2 linked regions of the Macaca fascicularis genome follow. The protein of the gene in region 1 purifies or fractionates together with the protein of each later gene. This does not show direct contact. Links are inferred from orthologs where the notes say so. Each region holds a gene or a part of one and is shown in the gene's direction. Other genes may lie near its edges. The genes, in order: DKC1 and NAF1.

Region 1 (7,925 bases):
GATCTGCCTTTATTTTTTTTTTTGTACCCATTAACCATCCCTACCTCCCTGCCAGCCTCCAACTACCCTCCCAGTCTCTGGTAACCGTTCTTTTACTCTTCTCTGTCCACGAGTTCAATTGTTTCGATTCTTAGCTCCCACAAATAAGTGAGAACATGCAATGTTTGTCTTTCTATGCCTGACTGATTACACTTAACATGATCTTCAGTTCCATCCATGTTGTTGGAAATGACAGGATCTCATTTTTTTTTAAGGCTGAATAGTATTCCATCGTGTATATGTACCACATTTTCTTTATCCATTTATCTGTTGATGGGCACCTCGGTTGCTTCCAAATCTTGGCTATTGTGATCTCTTTGATAACACTAATTTCCTTTATTTGGGGTATATACCCAGCAGTGGGATTGCTGGATCCTATGATAGCTCAGTTTAGTTTTTTGAGGAACCTCCTAACTGTTCTCCATAGTGGTTGTATCAATTTACCTTCCCACCAACAATGTACAAAGGTTCCCTTTTCTCCACATCCTTTCCAGCATTTGTCATTGTCTGTCTTTTGGATATAAACCATTTTAACTGGAGTGAAATGATGTTTCATTGTAGTTTTGATTTGCATTTCTCTGGTGATCAGCGTTGAGCACCTTTTCATATGCCTGTTTGCCATTTATTTATCTTCTTTTGAGAAGTGTCTATTCAAATATTTTGCCTGTTTTTTGATTGGATTATTAGATTTTTTTCCTATAGCGCCGAGTTCGTTATATATTCTGGTTATAAATCCCTTGTCAGATGGGTAGTTTGCGGATATTTTGTCCCGTTCTTATGCATATGGATATCTAGTTTTCCCAGCACCATTTATTGAAGAGACTGGTTTTTACCCAGTGTATGTTGTTGGTACCTTTGTCAAAAATGAGTTCAATGTGGCTGTGTGGATTTGTTTCTGGGTTCCCTATTCTGTTCCATTGGTTTATGTGCCTGTTTTTATGCCAGTACCATACTATTGTGGTTACTGTAGCTCTATAGTATAATGTGAAGTGAGGTAATGTGATTCCTCTAGGTTTGTTCTTTTTGCTTAGGATCACTTTGGCTAGTTTGAGTCTTTTGTGGTTCCATGTAAAGTACCAGTGTTTTTTAACTCGTGAAAGCTTAGCTACTGTTGGATTGTCTCTTAAGACTTTAAATGCTCTGCACCCTCTTAGCGAATGAACCTTAGAGCTATTCATTTAATGGGTCCAATATGTACCAGAAGTAAGCATGTCATCAGGATTCCTTAGCTCTGTGAGCAGGCAGGCCAGCCATGGCCTATGGACAGCAGCAGAAAAGGAATCCTTAAAACTTCAAAGGTTCTGTGGCCGCAAAGGGAGTGTGCATGCCATTCCTATAGATGTCTTGAGCTGCAAGCCTGTTATGTGTATCGTTAGGTGCTTTGGTTAGGTGTTTTTTAACTTGAGAAGTTTAACATCATTTCAGAAGCCTCCTTCTCATAATGGGGGATTTCTTCCATATGCATATCCTGAGCAAAGGAAACCCCAATTAAAGTAGTAGAGCTCAGAGTTTTGAAAGTGGCATACAACAGTAGAGTTGGGGCTCATCAATTATCAATTCTTTCCCCCTTCAAATAATTCTTTTCTTTATTCAATGCCTGTAGCTATTGCGTTAATGACCACAGCGGTCATCTCTACCTGCGATCATGGTATAGTAGCAAAGATCAAGAGAGTGATCATGGAGAGAGACACTTACCCTCGGAAGTGGGGTTTAGGTCCAAAGGTAAGTGGTACTGGGTTGCGTGCTCTGCCAGGTTCTTTTGTTTGGCATTGTTGAATACTTGGGCAGCTATTGGTGTATTTCACCACCACAGCCTTGTATTGTGCTGGGCTCTGGATTGTTGATGAGTGGAAACAGGCCCTGTCTTGGGCCTTAGAGATTTCAGTCTGAGGGGAAACAGTTGGGCATTACTTACGTAATCACACAGTGGAATGGCAAATTTCATTCATGTTAGTGGCTACCAAGAAGTGCAGAGAGGTGGCTGTCACCTGGAGTGTCCACAGTGCTCAAGGAGTCTGGGCAAGAGATCATCTGTTAAGCCACACCAGTGTGAAGAGTGGATTAGGTGTTGATGAAGTGAAGAGGGGAGGGGAGAGTTCAGGGCAGTGGGAGGCAGCAAGCAGCATGTGCAAAGGCAAAAGAGTAGAGTGGCTGTGGTGGGGACATATGTCTGCAGAGGCTCTCACTAATAAGCTTTGTGACCTTCAACAAGTCCTCTGTGTGTTGGAGTTAGTGGGCGAATTCTGAATGCTCTGGAGAGGAGTTTGAGGCCCTGCTGAGAATACACCAGGGAGGAACCTTGTTCTATTCTTTGCAGTCACCATGCCCGCTTCCGCATTGACACCATTCTAATGTTGACACCTTGATGTTCCACCAGGCAAGTCAGAAGAAGCTGATGATCAAGCAGGGCCTTCTGGACAAGTACGGGAAGCCCACAGAGAGTACGCCTGCCACCTGGAAGCAGGAGTATGTTGACTACAGGTGAGGGCAGGATGTTTCAGAGCCAGGGGTGGGTAGAGACAGCACACATGCTGCCTTGATGCAGGAGTACGTCAACAACAGGTGAGGATGGGAGGGTAGAGAGTGCCCACTTGCCATTTGGATGCAGGAGTACATAGACGACAGGTGAGGGACAGGTGAGCACGGAGGTTGTAGAGCCCAGGGGAGGGGGAGTCACTTGGTTTGGGGCAAACTTGCTAAATGCAGGACCACAGGAACCAGCTCTTTGGCTCCCATGAAGTCTTGGCTGCCCAGGCCAGTTAGGGGTGTGGGCCTGCACGGCAGACAGTTACCCCTTTCTAGTCTGGCTCGTGGGACTCTAGAGGGATTCAGTCTGCAACAGTAAGTGGTGAGTTCTTCTGTCCAGCGTCAGTATTTTGATGGTGGTTTGAGACTTGCCAGATAACACTACATAACATCAGTACTGCCCTGGAAAGCCATTCAGTGAATTTGACTTATTGCTACCTCTTCTCTTTCAGTGAGACTGCCAAAAAAGAGGTGGTTGCTGAAGTGGTAAAAGCCCCGCAGGTAGTTGCCGAAGCAGCAAAAACTGCGAAGGTGAGTGGCATATGCTGTAATCAGTTTGGAATGTGCTTAGGGAGATAATCCTAAGAGGCACTGGCATTCGTCTTACTTTGTGACTGTCTGCAGTCTAGCCATATACCCTGGCGTCAGAGGTGTAGTGCATACACAGGTAATGCTGCCTTATACCCTGGGGTGCTTGTTTGGGCTCTGCAGGCTCCTCTGATTTGTATTCCCTGTCGTATCTGCTGGGAGGAGGAATGTGGGCTCAGGAATCAGATCGGCCTCGACTCCTACCTCAGCTATGGCAGCAACACAGGGATAGAATGGGTGCTGGTGTGTGTGTCATTCTGGCCCCCGCCCTGGGTCAAATGGTAGGACACATGTGTTGAAATCAGAGGCCATGGCTCTTGGACACTCGAGGCCATACGAAATTCAGCAGAGAACAGAATTGCATTTTAACTCGGCACCACCTGGTGTTGAAAGAGTCAGTCAAGCATGGGGTGGCAACTCCACCCCATGTTGCTGCTGGCATTAGTGCACAGAATGACAGGTCTGTACTCAGAAACGGGGGGCGGTACTGAGTATCCTGCACAAGGCTGTGTGGGAGGAGCTTCTGACTTGTCAGATGTGAATTCTTGCTTTGCCTGCTTTCTGTGAGAGGTCCTTGCAGTCGTGAAAGAAACAGCTTCTCTGGGCCTTTCCATCCCCAAGCCCCATGCTGCTGCTGTGCTGCTCCTCTCTGCCTGCCTCAAGGCTTCTTGGATTTGGGGGATGAGACTGTCTTCAAATCCTCAGTAAACTAAAGCCTTGTCCGGGTTTGTAGTCACAAAACGTCCTGTTGGATTCAGTTGGGATCTTTCTCGGTGCCTCACTACCTTTTGACTCACTGAACCTTTCTTGTCCATTATTGCCCAATATCTAACACTTAACCAATTGCTTTCATCTCAGCGGAAGCGAGAGAGTGACAGTGAAAGTGACGAGACCCCTCCAGCAGCTCCTCAGTTGATCAAGAAGGAAAAGAAGAAGAGTAAGAAGGACAAGAAGGCCAAGGCTGGTCTGGAGAGCGGGGCCGAGCCTGGAGATGGGGTGTGTGGAGATATGTTCAGGTTCCTTGGGCTGGCTTAGTCCCTCCATGGGGAAAGAATTACCCAGGTGGTACCAGCTTTGTTACTCTTCTTGGAGGAGCTGTGGCCTGGGGGTGGCATGCGACTGAGTGCCTTTAGTGCTTCCCCATGTTCCTGGACTGCTTTTGCCCTCCCTGTGGAATGGACAGATAGAGGTACTCGGCATCTACCACTTACACTTACAGCTCTATTGACGGTGGGGTGGAGAGGATGTGTAGGATGGTGATCTGAATGTTTCTACTTCCAAAAGTAGACCACTAGGGTGTCACTGAAAGGTTCGCAGAACTTTGTGTCACATGTAGTATTTAACCCAAAATATCCTTACAGGTCCTGAAAAAAGGCTTGCTTGACTGTGGACCTTTACCAGATTTCCTTCTGGGAGAGTGATAGCTTTGTTAGTGGATCCCATGGTATCTATAAGCTTTCATTCTCTTTCTTTCTAGGACAGTGATACCACCAAGAAGAAGAAGAAGAAGAAGAAAGCAAAAGAGGTAGAATTGGTTTCTGAGTAGTGAAGGCCACTTGAAGCATTGTGTCCAGCTGGAGGAGAAACTAAAGCCTTATTAAGAAAACATGTTATAGATCCTTTTGTTGCTGAGAGAGTGGAACATAGGTCCTAGACAGGGTGAAGAGTTCCGGCACATTTTAGCTGCTACTTTGAGACCTCGGTGATGTTACCTGGTGTGGTCATCCCATCTTGTCCTGTTTTAAGGATATGGGTGATGAAAGAGGCAGAGTTTATCCCAATGACTTCTCGGTTTGAGCCTCACCTTCAGACCCAGTAACTGTCCGCAGCTGTCTGCTAGTGGTTGTCTTAACATCATAGTCCTAGTTTGCATTTTTTTATCCCCTCTGTTTATAAGGTTTGTAAAACAAAACAAAAAACTAAGTCTGCTCAGTGAAATGGTGTAGAACCGTAAATAAGTGATAGAAGAGTGTCACTGAATTTTGTCTCTGAATTCAGTATAACTGAGTTTTGTCCATGCTGGTGTCTGACGGGCCTGGTGGTTTTCCATCTTGTTCTGGCCTAGAGGTCAGTCCTTTGCACTTCCTCAAAGCTTCTGTACAGTGTTCACCTAAATCCATCTGACTACTTGTTCCTGTGCCGTCTTGTTTTAGGCCTCGTTTACTTTTAAAGAATGAAATTGTTCATTGCTGGGAGAAGAATGTTGTAATTTTTACTTATTAAAGTCAATTTGTTAAGTTTTTAATGTATTCCTGTTGGGTTTTCTTGTTGGTGATCTCATGCTAGCAGAGCAAAAATTGTAAAATATTTTGATTAAAAATCTAGGGACCTTTATGTTCTATTTGAAGTGTGATGCTTTTATGTTTTCTGGCTTTTACATTTTCGTTCTGTATCTTACACAGTTCACCTTGGGCCCTGTCATCTGATGTGAGTACTCAGGCAGTGATTACCACAAAACCAGTGATCTGTAGAAGAACAGAGGAGAGGGTTGATGTATTTATACATAGTGGGCCTGGCAGGAGGGAGGCAGGGTGAGTCGGGAGAAGGAAGCTGAAAGTTAGGGACATTCAGGAATCTGAAGGCCTTGGTGACAGATTAGTGGAAGAAAGGTCTAGGGTTGCTTCCAATTTGGTATTAAGAGCCAAGAAAGAGGCCGGGTGTGGTGGCTTACACCTGTAATCCCATCAACTTTGGGAGGCTGAGGCAGGCAGATCACCTGAGGTCAGGAGTTTGAGACCAGCCTGGTTAACATGGCAAAACCCATCTCTACTAAAAATACAAAAATTAGCCAGGTGTGGTGGTGTGCACCTGTAATCCCAGCTACTTGGGAGGCTGAGGCAGGAGAGTCCCTTGAACCTGGGAGGTGGAGGTTGCAGTGAGCCGAGATCCTGCCACTGCACTCCAGCCTGGGCAAAGCAGTGAGACTGTCTCAAAAAAAGAAAAAAAGTGTCGCTTCCTGGGGGAGTCCTTGGATGCAGTGAGGAGAGGCCCTGAGCTGTAGCCACATTATGAGCCAGGCGTGCAGAGTGGACCCCAGCCCTGGCTCAGTGACCAGCCTCCACTGTACCACAGGACCCCAGGCTAGGATTTTCTCTAAATATGTGCCCACAATGGGCTTTCCTCCAGATATGACAACCTTAGGGTGTTTTTCTACATGGGCACTAGCCAGTAGAGACCTGCAGTGGGGGCACAGAGAATGGGGATTCTTCCAGGGCACTGGTGTTTATCATCTTGTGTTAATGCCGTTGTCCAGGAGCTTAAGTGAAATGGACCACATTTCTTTGTGTGGAAACCCAGAGTTACAAGGTCATTGGCATTTTAACACAGCATTTTTATTGCTTTTGAAGGTTTCCCTAGAGCAGACGTCATTCTATTGCACAGATGTGTCATTTTGGCATTATAGAAAGTTGCAGTTAAAAACGCTTTCTCCAAAATAAAAAGACAAACGAGATACAGTTGAAGGCAAAGGAGGGCAGGCTTTAGAGGGATGGGGTCGTTGCTTTTGCTGTGCATCATCCTTGATCTAGCAGTTACGTTTTGGTAGTACTGCTTACCCCCAATTTCTAGAAATCCTTTTGAAATCCAGATTACTGGGGCCCCATCTATCAGGAAAATCAAATCCCAACCCTTCAGGAGCCTGAGCAAGAAGACTGAACCCTACTGGCTTAATTAGGATAGCAGCAGAGAGCTGGAAGCTGACACAAAACTAGTTGGAGCAGCCCTGTTTGTCTTAAAGCAAGGGGGGTGGAGTTCCAAATGCTGGAGAGGGGCATACAGTGGGTTCCCCCATTCTATGAGCTTAGTAAACCCAGGAGACAGGCACCCACTGTGGAGAACTGCACGCTTGGTCGAAGGCTTCTTGTAATTTCTTAAGGGTTTCATCAACACTATTATTGACCAGTGAGAGGTCAAAGTAGTGAGCGTACTGGCTGCGGATGGCCTCAGAGTCCTTCTGCAGCTGCTGCAGGGCTTCTGTCTGCAAAGAAGAAAGCCACAGATGAAGCAAGCTGCACCACCCCCAGCCCAGAGAGGCCAGTGACAGATTTTAAAGAGCAATTGTTAGCGCTGCTCAGCTGTGCATCATACTTGAAGAGTCAAACTTGGAAGACATTGTGAAAGAATGTTAATATAGGGCATGAAGAGGCAATCTCAAAAGACCATGGCAATTCTCAGAGGATCTCAAGCTAACCCTGACCAATCAGAGCCCTCTGGAGAACCAATAGCTATGCAGAGACAGCATGGACTTCACCAGCATCTCCTATTAACGCCCTTTGAACATGGAAGAGCCATTTCAACAAGCACCAGAGCTGCAATACTAAAACAAAGATAAAGGTGATTTTGTTTTGTTTTGTTTTGAGATAGAGTCTTGCTCTGTGGCCCAGGCTGGAGTACAGTGGCACAATCTTGGCTCACTGCAACCTCTGCCTGCTGGGTTCAAGCAATTCTCGTGCCTCAGCCTCCCGAGTAGCTGGGATTACAGGCATGTGCCACCACATCTGGCTAATTTTTGTATTTTTAGTAGAGACAGGGTTTTGCCATGTTGGCCAGGCTGGTCTCGAACTTCGGACCTCAGGTGATCCACCCACCTCGGCCTCTTAAAGTGCTGGGATTACAGGCATGAGCCACTGCACCCAGTCAGATAAAGGCGATTTCTAATCCCAGAGCACACCTGTAATCCCAGCACTTTGGAAGGCCGAGGCAAGATGATTGCTTGAGCACAGGAGTTCAAGACCAGCCTGGACAACACAGTGAGACCCCATTTCTACAAAAAA
Region 2 (7,905 bases), on another chromosome or scaffold:
TCAAAAATCCTTATAGGATTTATTATGTTTCCAGGCACTTAGAGAAACAGCTGTGAATTAGACAAAGATCCTGGGCACCCGAGACTTAATTTTATGAAAAAACAGACAATAAAGAAGTAAATAAATATAATTTCATGTCAAGATAAATACTATTTAAATAAAACCAATAAGCAATAAGCTAGGAAGTGATTGGTATTGAGAGGTACACTTACATTGGGTGATCTGGAAAGCTCTCTCTTAGGTGTAGTGAGTAGAAACAAAAATGAGTAAAAAGGCCACCTTAATATGAAGAGAAGAGAGAACAGAAAAGTGAAAATGTCACACGTGAAGAATTAACTTGGTGAGTTGAAGGGAGATCAGGACCAGTGATCACGTGGTACAAGGGTGGGGAAGACAGTAGGAGATAGAAACTGGAGAGGTAAGTAGTGGCCAGATCAGGTAGGGTGTTGAAAGCCAAAGCAGGGAGTCTGAATTTTATTCTAAGTGTGCTTACAAATATTTAGAGTTTTAAGCAGGAAATTACAATGATCTTATTTATTATCCCCTGTGAAGCTCTCCTATTTTCTCAGATTAACAAATTCATGGTTCTCTTTGAAAAGTCCAGCTCAAGTATCACACGCATTTTAAAGCCTTCTGTTATTGTCAGTGGGGCAGTGGTTGGGTGGTCCTGTTTAACCAGCTTTCCTAGAGGTGACTTCTCCCATTCAGTTCTATTCAAGTCAAAGATGGGTCTTAGAGATTGTCTCGTGCTTTGGTAGTTTATTCTGGCATCGCTCTTAAAAGATAGTGGGAAGAGTTTGGGGGCATAAACCAGATAGTCAGGGCTCAGATGATCAAGAGACTGCAATTAGAGACTGTTCTCAGTGTTGGGGGTTTCTTTCCCCTTTTTAAAACCTGTATTCGGTTGGTCAGTTATCAGATGTTTCTCTCATAAATGGAGTCGAAGCTACTCTTACAAGGGTAAGCTTTAAGGTTCATGAAAGTTGCATCTGTGCTGAAGTGGCCCTGTCTCCTGGAAATCACTGGAAATCTCCAGGGCCAGTTTGTATTACATTGATAAATACATTTAGTATCAGCCCCTCAAGGCACCTGAGTGAGCCTTATGGCTATAATTAATCTTAAAGCCATGATATATCTCTTATAGTATATTTTCCTTAATTTTCCAAGTATCTTCTGTCTTTAGTTTTCCTATTTCATACATCCTTGCATTTACATGGTACATTTCTCTACTATAGTACCTTCTGCTTGTTTTCAACTTGTCTTTTCTACTGAACTGTTAACTCCATAAGGGTAGGGACTGTGTTTATCTTCCTGAATGCATAGTTCATAATGCAGTGCACAGCATATACTAATGTTAAGAAAATGACTACTGAACGAACAAATGAGTATTTCAGTTATCCCATAACTTATGCTTCTGGTCTTAACATTTCTGTCAAATTCCAGTTTCTTATTTTTAAATGCCTACTGACATTTTTAATTGTCTAGTTTTTCTTCAGACTCAACTTCACATACCCACATCTCTTTCCAACTTCTCCATTTTATTTATTTGTTTATAGGGAGTTTCCCTCTTGTTGCCTAGGCTGGAGTGCAACAGCGCAATCTCAGCTCACTGCAGCCTCTGCCTCCTGAGTTTAAGCCATTCTCCTGCCTCAGCCTCCCAAGTAGCTGGGATTACAGGTGCCTGCCACCACGCCCAGCTAAGTTTTTGTATTTTTAGTAGAGATGGGGTTTCGCCATGTTGCCCAGACTGGTCTCAAACTCCTGGCCTCAGGTGATCTGCCCACCTCAGCCTCCCAAAGTGCTGGAAGTACAAGCGTGAGGCCCTGCACCTGGCCAACTTCTCCATTTTTATTGGTAATACCAACTTCTTTCTAATTTCCTTAACCAGAAATTTTAGAGTACTATTATTCTTCCCCTGATACTGGGGATTTCCTTTACTCTATTTCATTGACTGTAACCCTAGTTCAGATTTTTATCACCTAATTCCTGGAAAAATGCAACAAAGTGGCTGGCTGGGGAAAATTCTGGCTCAAATGTCTTCCCTTCTCAAATCTGTACTGCATGTCTTTGCAAGATCATTGCTAACGAAATATTTTATTCATGAGTTCACGCACTGTTCCATTTTCCAAGTATTTTTGCACACCGAGTGTATGACATGCCATTCCCTTATACAAAACCTTACTTAATGCTCACATGAACTAAATGAGAGTATTTTTATCTCCATTTTACAGATAAGTAAATTAGGATTTAGGTTAACTGCCCAAAGTCACAGTTACACCAATCACAAAATGGTAGTTCGTATTTTTATCTGTTTTACTGAAAAGGAAATTAAGATTTAAGTTACCTGCCCAAAGTCAGTTACACCAATCACACAATGGTAGAGCTGAGACCTGAACACAGGTCTTTTTAGTTGAAAACTCTGAGCTCTGCTTAATCATTATGCTAGTAAGTTAGTATACCAAGTTTAAAATCCTTCTTCACTTTGGAGGATTTCCATGATATAGCCTATCAATCCTACTTCCCATTTCTGCTACACTTGGATTTTCTATTTCATATTTCAAATATTTTTCTAGTTATCTCCTGTGCATTGCCCTTCTCTACTTCAAGTAGATTGTAAGCTTCTTAAAACCTTACTCTTATTACACTTGCCTTGCATTTCTATGAAGATCTACTGTTGTAGATGGCACACTAAATTCTCAGTGAATAATTTATAAAATCTTTAGCACAGTCCTTGGCACATATGCCTGTTTAACAAATGGTACCAATGATTATTATTATTACGCAGGGACTGATGCATCACATTGAAGACCTAATAGGAAACCAGAAAATTCTGATCTCTTCCTCAGTCCTAAGAACTCTACTGGCTCTCTCCACAATTTAGACTAGTGGTTTCCAATATGAAGTGAGTACATTTCAGTCTCATAGTCTCATCTCTCTACCACGAAACAGTGCCAGGTATGATATAGACATCACCATAACATGAACAAGACAGCAAAATTTTGACCATTACTACTCTCTTTGAGGGTACCTTGGAGAAAGGAAAATGGAATAGTTGTAGTTACCTTTTTGAAAAAATGGTTAAAGTTCTATTTATTGACAGATGGATCTATTGATGGATAAACTTCATTTAACTTCAAGGCTTCCTGACTCAAGTTTCTCATGTACAGGACCTACCACTCTTCAGGCATCTCCCCTGTTGTATAATCCCTGCTTTATTTTGGCGCTTCAAGCAGAATTGGTTCACGTTCAGCAATATGAAAATCCGACATTCGGGCCTTGAATGGTTCACATGAGGCAGTGAAAACGGTCGATTTAGAACCTCCCCCGCACCCCCACCCCCCGGCCCTGACTTTTTCTTTTCTTTCTTTCTTTCTTTTTTTTTTTTTTTTTTTTTGAGACGGAGTCTCGCTCTGTTGCCAGGCTGGAGTGCAGTGGCGCGGTCTTGGCTCACTGCAACCTCCGCCCGCTGGGTTCAAGCGATTCTCCTGCCTCACCCTCCCAAGTAGCTGGGATTACAGGCACGCGCCACCATGCCCAGTTAATTTTTGTATTTTTAGTAGAGATGGGGTTTGACCATATTGGCCAGGTTGGTCTGTGAACTCCTGACCTTATGATCCGCCCGCCTCGGCCTCCCAAAGTGCTAGGATTACAGGCGTCAGTCACCACTCCGCACCTCCTAGTCCTGATTTTCAAAGGTATGACGCATGTGTCCGGTTCCCGGGGAGGGCCGTCGAGCCGTCGCGCCGTCGCGCCACATACGTCACACGCTATTCGGAAAGCGTTGCTGCGTAAACGGCGGGGGCGTGTCTTTTGGCTCCTCCGCGTGTAGTTACCTGAGAAACGCGGGAAGTTGGGGCCACGGACTGTTGCTTCGGTTGCCTAAGTTGTTTTATTATTTCTGGAGAGAGCCGTAAGCTTGTGTGGGGTCTCAAATCCTGAGGCCGACTCGGTGCCTGGCGCGGTGTGATGGAGGTAGTGGAGGCCGCCGTCGCTCAGCTGGAAACTCTGAAATTCAATGGCACCGATTTCGGAGTTGGCGAAGGTCCGGCGGCGACGTCTCCGGGCTCTGCCCCTGCGCCAGGGACACAGCCGCCGCTACAGTCGTTTGAGGGGTCCCCGGACACTGGGCAGACCGTGGAGGTTAAGACTGCCGGTGAGCAGCCTCTGCAGGCCGTTCTGAACGCAGTAGCGGCCGGGACCCCAGCGTCGCAGCCGCAGCCGCCAGCTGAATCGCCGGCCTGCGGAGGCTGGGTCACCTCTCCAGGAGCCAGAGAGCCTGCGGGGGCCCCGAACTCCTTGGAGACCTCGGACTCGGATTCGGATTCGGACTCGGACAGGTCGGGTGCCTAAGGGACCCGGAGCTGTGGGGAAAGGTCTTGTATGACGGGCGGGGTGGCCGGGGCCTAGGAGCCTAGAGGTTGCCCGTGTGGGCCCTGGAGGGTGGGCAGGTCGCTGGTGCTCCGGTCTCATGTGTTGAAGTATTGGCTGCGACTGCCCTTTATTCGCTGCCTCTCAGAGCAGGTCGCGTTGTGAATCTGAACTTAGTACTCACTACTTTCCTAAATTTGGTAGCCTGAAGAGTTCTATGTATAGATCGTATCATTTTTAGTTAGACTTTAGAAAACCCGAGGATCTTAGGTTGTTTCCGTAACTACTCAGTTCAGGCTGTACTTTTGTGGTTATAATTGAGTTTTGTGTCAGATCTGATTTTTTTTTCCCATCACATGTAGGCTTTGTTTTTTGAACCACATACATTGAGGATCAGGAAAAGGATTATTTTGTGTGTTTCAGAGCTGGCTCTTGACGATTACGTTAATTTGTAGAATCGTTTTAGGGAACACGTGTTTATGAAAGTAGCTAAACAGTGTTATTTAGTAGTATTTTATGCTTCTTACGTTTTGCGAGAGCCTTTCCCCCTTGCCCCCACTTCTGTCTTTTAAATATGAAACCTCTGGGCTGGAGAGGACTCCGGCATGTGGGATGTTACTAAACAACACTGAACATTGTCTACAAATGGTTGAGTGTGTTGAGTGGGGTACTGAACAGGTTAACAAGATAGACACGTGTTGAGGAGGTGAGTAGTTTAGTTTTTAGGGAAGTCGTCAGCAGAGTGGGAGTGAAGAAGGCATGAAGGTAGGAGAAGGGTATGAAATGGACTGGGAGGGGGAAGTAACAACTGTAGACAAGGTTGGATTTCTTGGCAGTACTAAGATTGCGGTATAATCATCTTGTGGGATTTCAGAGCTCATTGTACTAGCAAAGAAAAGTAAATGGTAGATGATTTGGGGATACGTTTTGAAAGCAGAAGGGATATGGCTTCATAATAGGCCAACTTAGTGTCAGGATACTGCTTCTGACTCTTTGTGGGTGATGGCAGAGGATACCAAATATTTGAAGAAGTCAAAAGGGGTACAACTTTTTGCCAGTTAACAGCAGTGGAATCAAATGGAAACTGACGGGGAGAAGCAGGTTTCGTTAGTATAATGCACTTTTTCTTGTTTTAACTTGCTGTGAGTGTGGGTGTATAGGCCGTTCATACAAAAGTGGCCAATATGCCGTCAGAGATTGGACATGAAGTTTAGAGACGTCATAGCCTAAAATTTAGGCGTTAATGTCACATGGATGATGATTGAAATCATTAACATGTACGGGATTATCCATGAAAGTAGTACAGAAAGAAGAGAAAGTGAGGATGGAACCCTTAAAAATAATATATAAAAAGGCTTGAAGTGAGGAGCCAACAAACAAAATTTAAACTGAGACAGTGGTTTCTGTTAACGATAATTTCTGTGGAAGATAAGGACCAAATGAGTTTTCAGAAAGTAGAACGGTCTACATACTTTAGTAACTGAGGATTTCCCAAGTTGTCTGTAGACTGAGAAGAAACTCAAGCGATCTGGCAATTAAGCGATCTGGTTATTGGTGTCTAAGAGAGGTGCCATGCCCAGAATTCCCTTGTTTTAGTGATTTGTCACATGCTTGCTTATACTCACGTGTATGATATGTGAGACTATTGTAATAAGAGAAACTGGGTTATAGCAGAGGTTTGAAAATGTAAAGACTACTTTCCCAATACCATATCAGCTTTGAAGTGCTAGCTTTTGAATTAGAACAGCAGTAGTAAACATGTAGTAAAGTTGATATGTTTTAATTGAATCATCTTATTTTAATATTGTTAGAATAAGCAATAATAAACATGTATTAAAGTTGATATTTCTTAATTGAATAATCTTATTTTAATACATAATAATACTGGACTTTTTTTTTTAACTGTTTTCTTCTCTACAGTGAAACAGATTCAGATAGTTCAAGCTCATCGTCTTCCTCCTCCTCTTCCTCATCGTCATCTTCTTCCTCTTGTATATCACTTCCTCCAGTGCTGTCAGATGGAGATGATGACTTACAAGTTGAGAAGGAAAATAAGAATTTTCCTCTTAAAACAAAAGATGAATTACTTCTTAATGTAAGTACTTAGATGTATTAAGTTTAGTTGGCATGTTTTAAAACATATTCTGGTACCGATATTGTTCTAATTTTGCCTGTATCTGCTCCATAAATTTGAAGTTCATTCTCAGCCTAACCGGCATGCTTTTGGCATGCCTTGGCTTTCTTATATAAAAGAGTAGTGATCTGTATAATTTCTTAGGTTACCTCTAACTCTGCTGACATTTGATAATTTTTCCGATTGTGGCTCAACTTCAGCTTTGAACTTTACATTTCTTACATTTCCTAGAAAAAGATATTTCTTATGTCGATTTGCTTTCTGGTGGTTTTTTTTTTTTTTTTAGGGTCTGCAAGTCAGAAAATTTTGCCCAATAGCAATTGAAATTTTCTTTTTAATTGACTGCATTTAGAGAAGTAGAAGGTGAAATTCAAAGGGTTGAGCTTGTTTGGATTCCTATTGAAGTTTTTGGAGTGTTTTTATTATTACAGTTGGAGAAAACTTGTTAATTTTAGAATGGTTGTTTATTGGCACTTGATAGGTTTGGTTTGCAAAGTTAACTCTTGCAAGGTTATTTCCTCTTACGCTGTAAACATCCTTAGGAGGATGATGTTAGTCTGATTGAAACCTATAACCCAGGAGGAAAGTCTCAGAATTTCAGAACGTAGGCTATATTACCACTTTTTTTTTCCGCCTCTGCATATACTTTTAATTATTAATGCTTTAAAAATATTTAATGGTCACTAATCATAATTCTTATATAACATTTACATTGATGAGATAGTTTAATGCAAGATTTGAAAAAATAAAGCCTACAGGCACTCAGGAACCTTTTTCATGAATGGATTCTACCAGTCTTAATTATTTCTCTTTTTCTCTACTGATAACAAGAAATTCTTATCTCGCTTATGCTTTATACATTGAAAATCTTTGGATTTGTATGCAGCTTCATCAGTGGCTCATATTTTCGTGCTACAGATACGTTAATATTTCTTAGTGGTCTTTGTACACAAAGGCTACCAACATAACTATTTTCTGAAAGTAGGAGACTTGTTTCGTCTTTTTTGCTTGTCTCTTGATCACCTGTCTACATAAGTTCCTTTTAGACTATAATAACCAACAAAGAAAAGACCACAGTACTTCTGTAAATGCATGCATATTGTTGTCTTATCTTACTAGATTTGGAATTCTTACCTTGGGAATTTCTTCAGATTTAATGCAAAGTCTTAGCGTATTTGTTTAGGTGTTTTTTTCTGAACAGAATGTCCCTGTTTTCATCAGGAAATCACAAAGGATTTGTGGCCACAGGGAGTCTAGGAACAAGTTCTTTGAGGACTGAGTTCATATGTGATCCTTGTAACTCCCATAGTACCCAGTGGAGTGCTTTACAGATAATGAGTTCTCAGGCCAAAGTAATTTATGATTATAGAATGAGTGTAAGGCATTTTATATTTATTAATTCT

The links.
Region 2: the proteins of DKC1 (region 1) and NAF1 purify together in Homo sapiens (co-immunoprecipitation; 7 studies listed by BioGRID and IntAct, counting the BioPlex papers as one, with this or other methods). This does not show direct contact. The link is inferred for Macaca fascicularis from reciprocal best matches to the Homo sapiens genes DKC1 and NAF1.

Annotation. Positions count from the first base shown.
Region 1 is NC_088395.1:160,882,537-160,890,461, forward strand, and holds the end of DKC1 (H/ACA ribonucleoprotein complex subunit DKC1), read left to right. Parts: intron 1-1,642; coding exon 1,643-1,761; intron 1,762-2,416; coding exon 2,417-2,520; intron 2,521-2,817; exon of another isoform or gene 2,818-2,946; intron 2,947-3,017; coding exon 3,018-3,096; intron 3,097-4,011; coding exon 4,012-4,149; intron 4,150-4,630; coding exon 4,631-4,699; 3' UTR 4,700-5,494; downstream 5,495-7,925. Other genes in the region: MPP1 (55 kDa erythrocyte membrane protein), read right to left, coding at 6,953-7,129.
Region 2 is NC_088379.1:168,112,572-168,120,476, reverse strand, and holds the start of NAF1 (H/ACA ribonucleoprotein complex non-core subunit NAF1), read left to right. Parts: upstream 1-3,823; 5' UTR 3,824-3,966; coding exon 3,967-4,337; intron 4,338-6,288; coding exon 6,289-6,463; intron 6,464-7,905. UniProt on the Homo sapiens protein: RNA-binding protein required for the maturation of box H/ACA snoRNPs complex and ribosome biogenesis.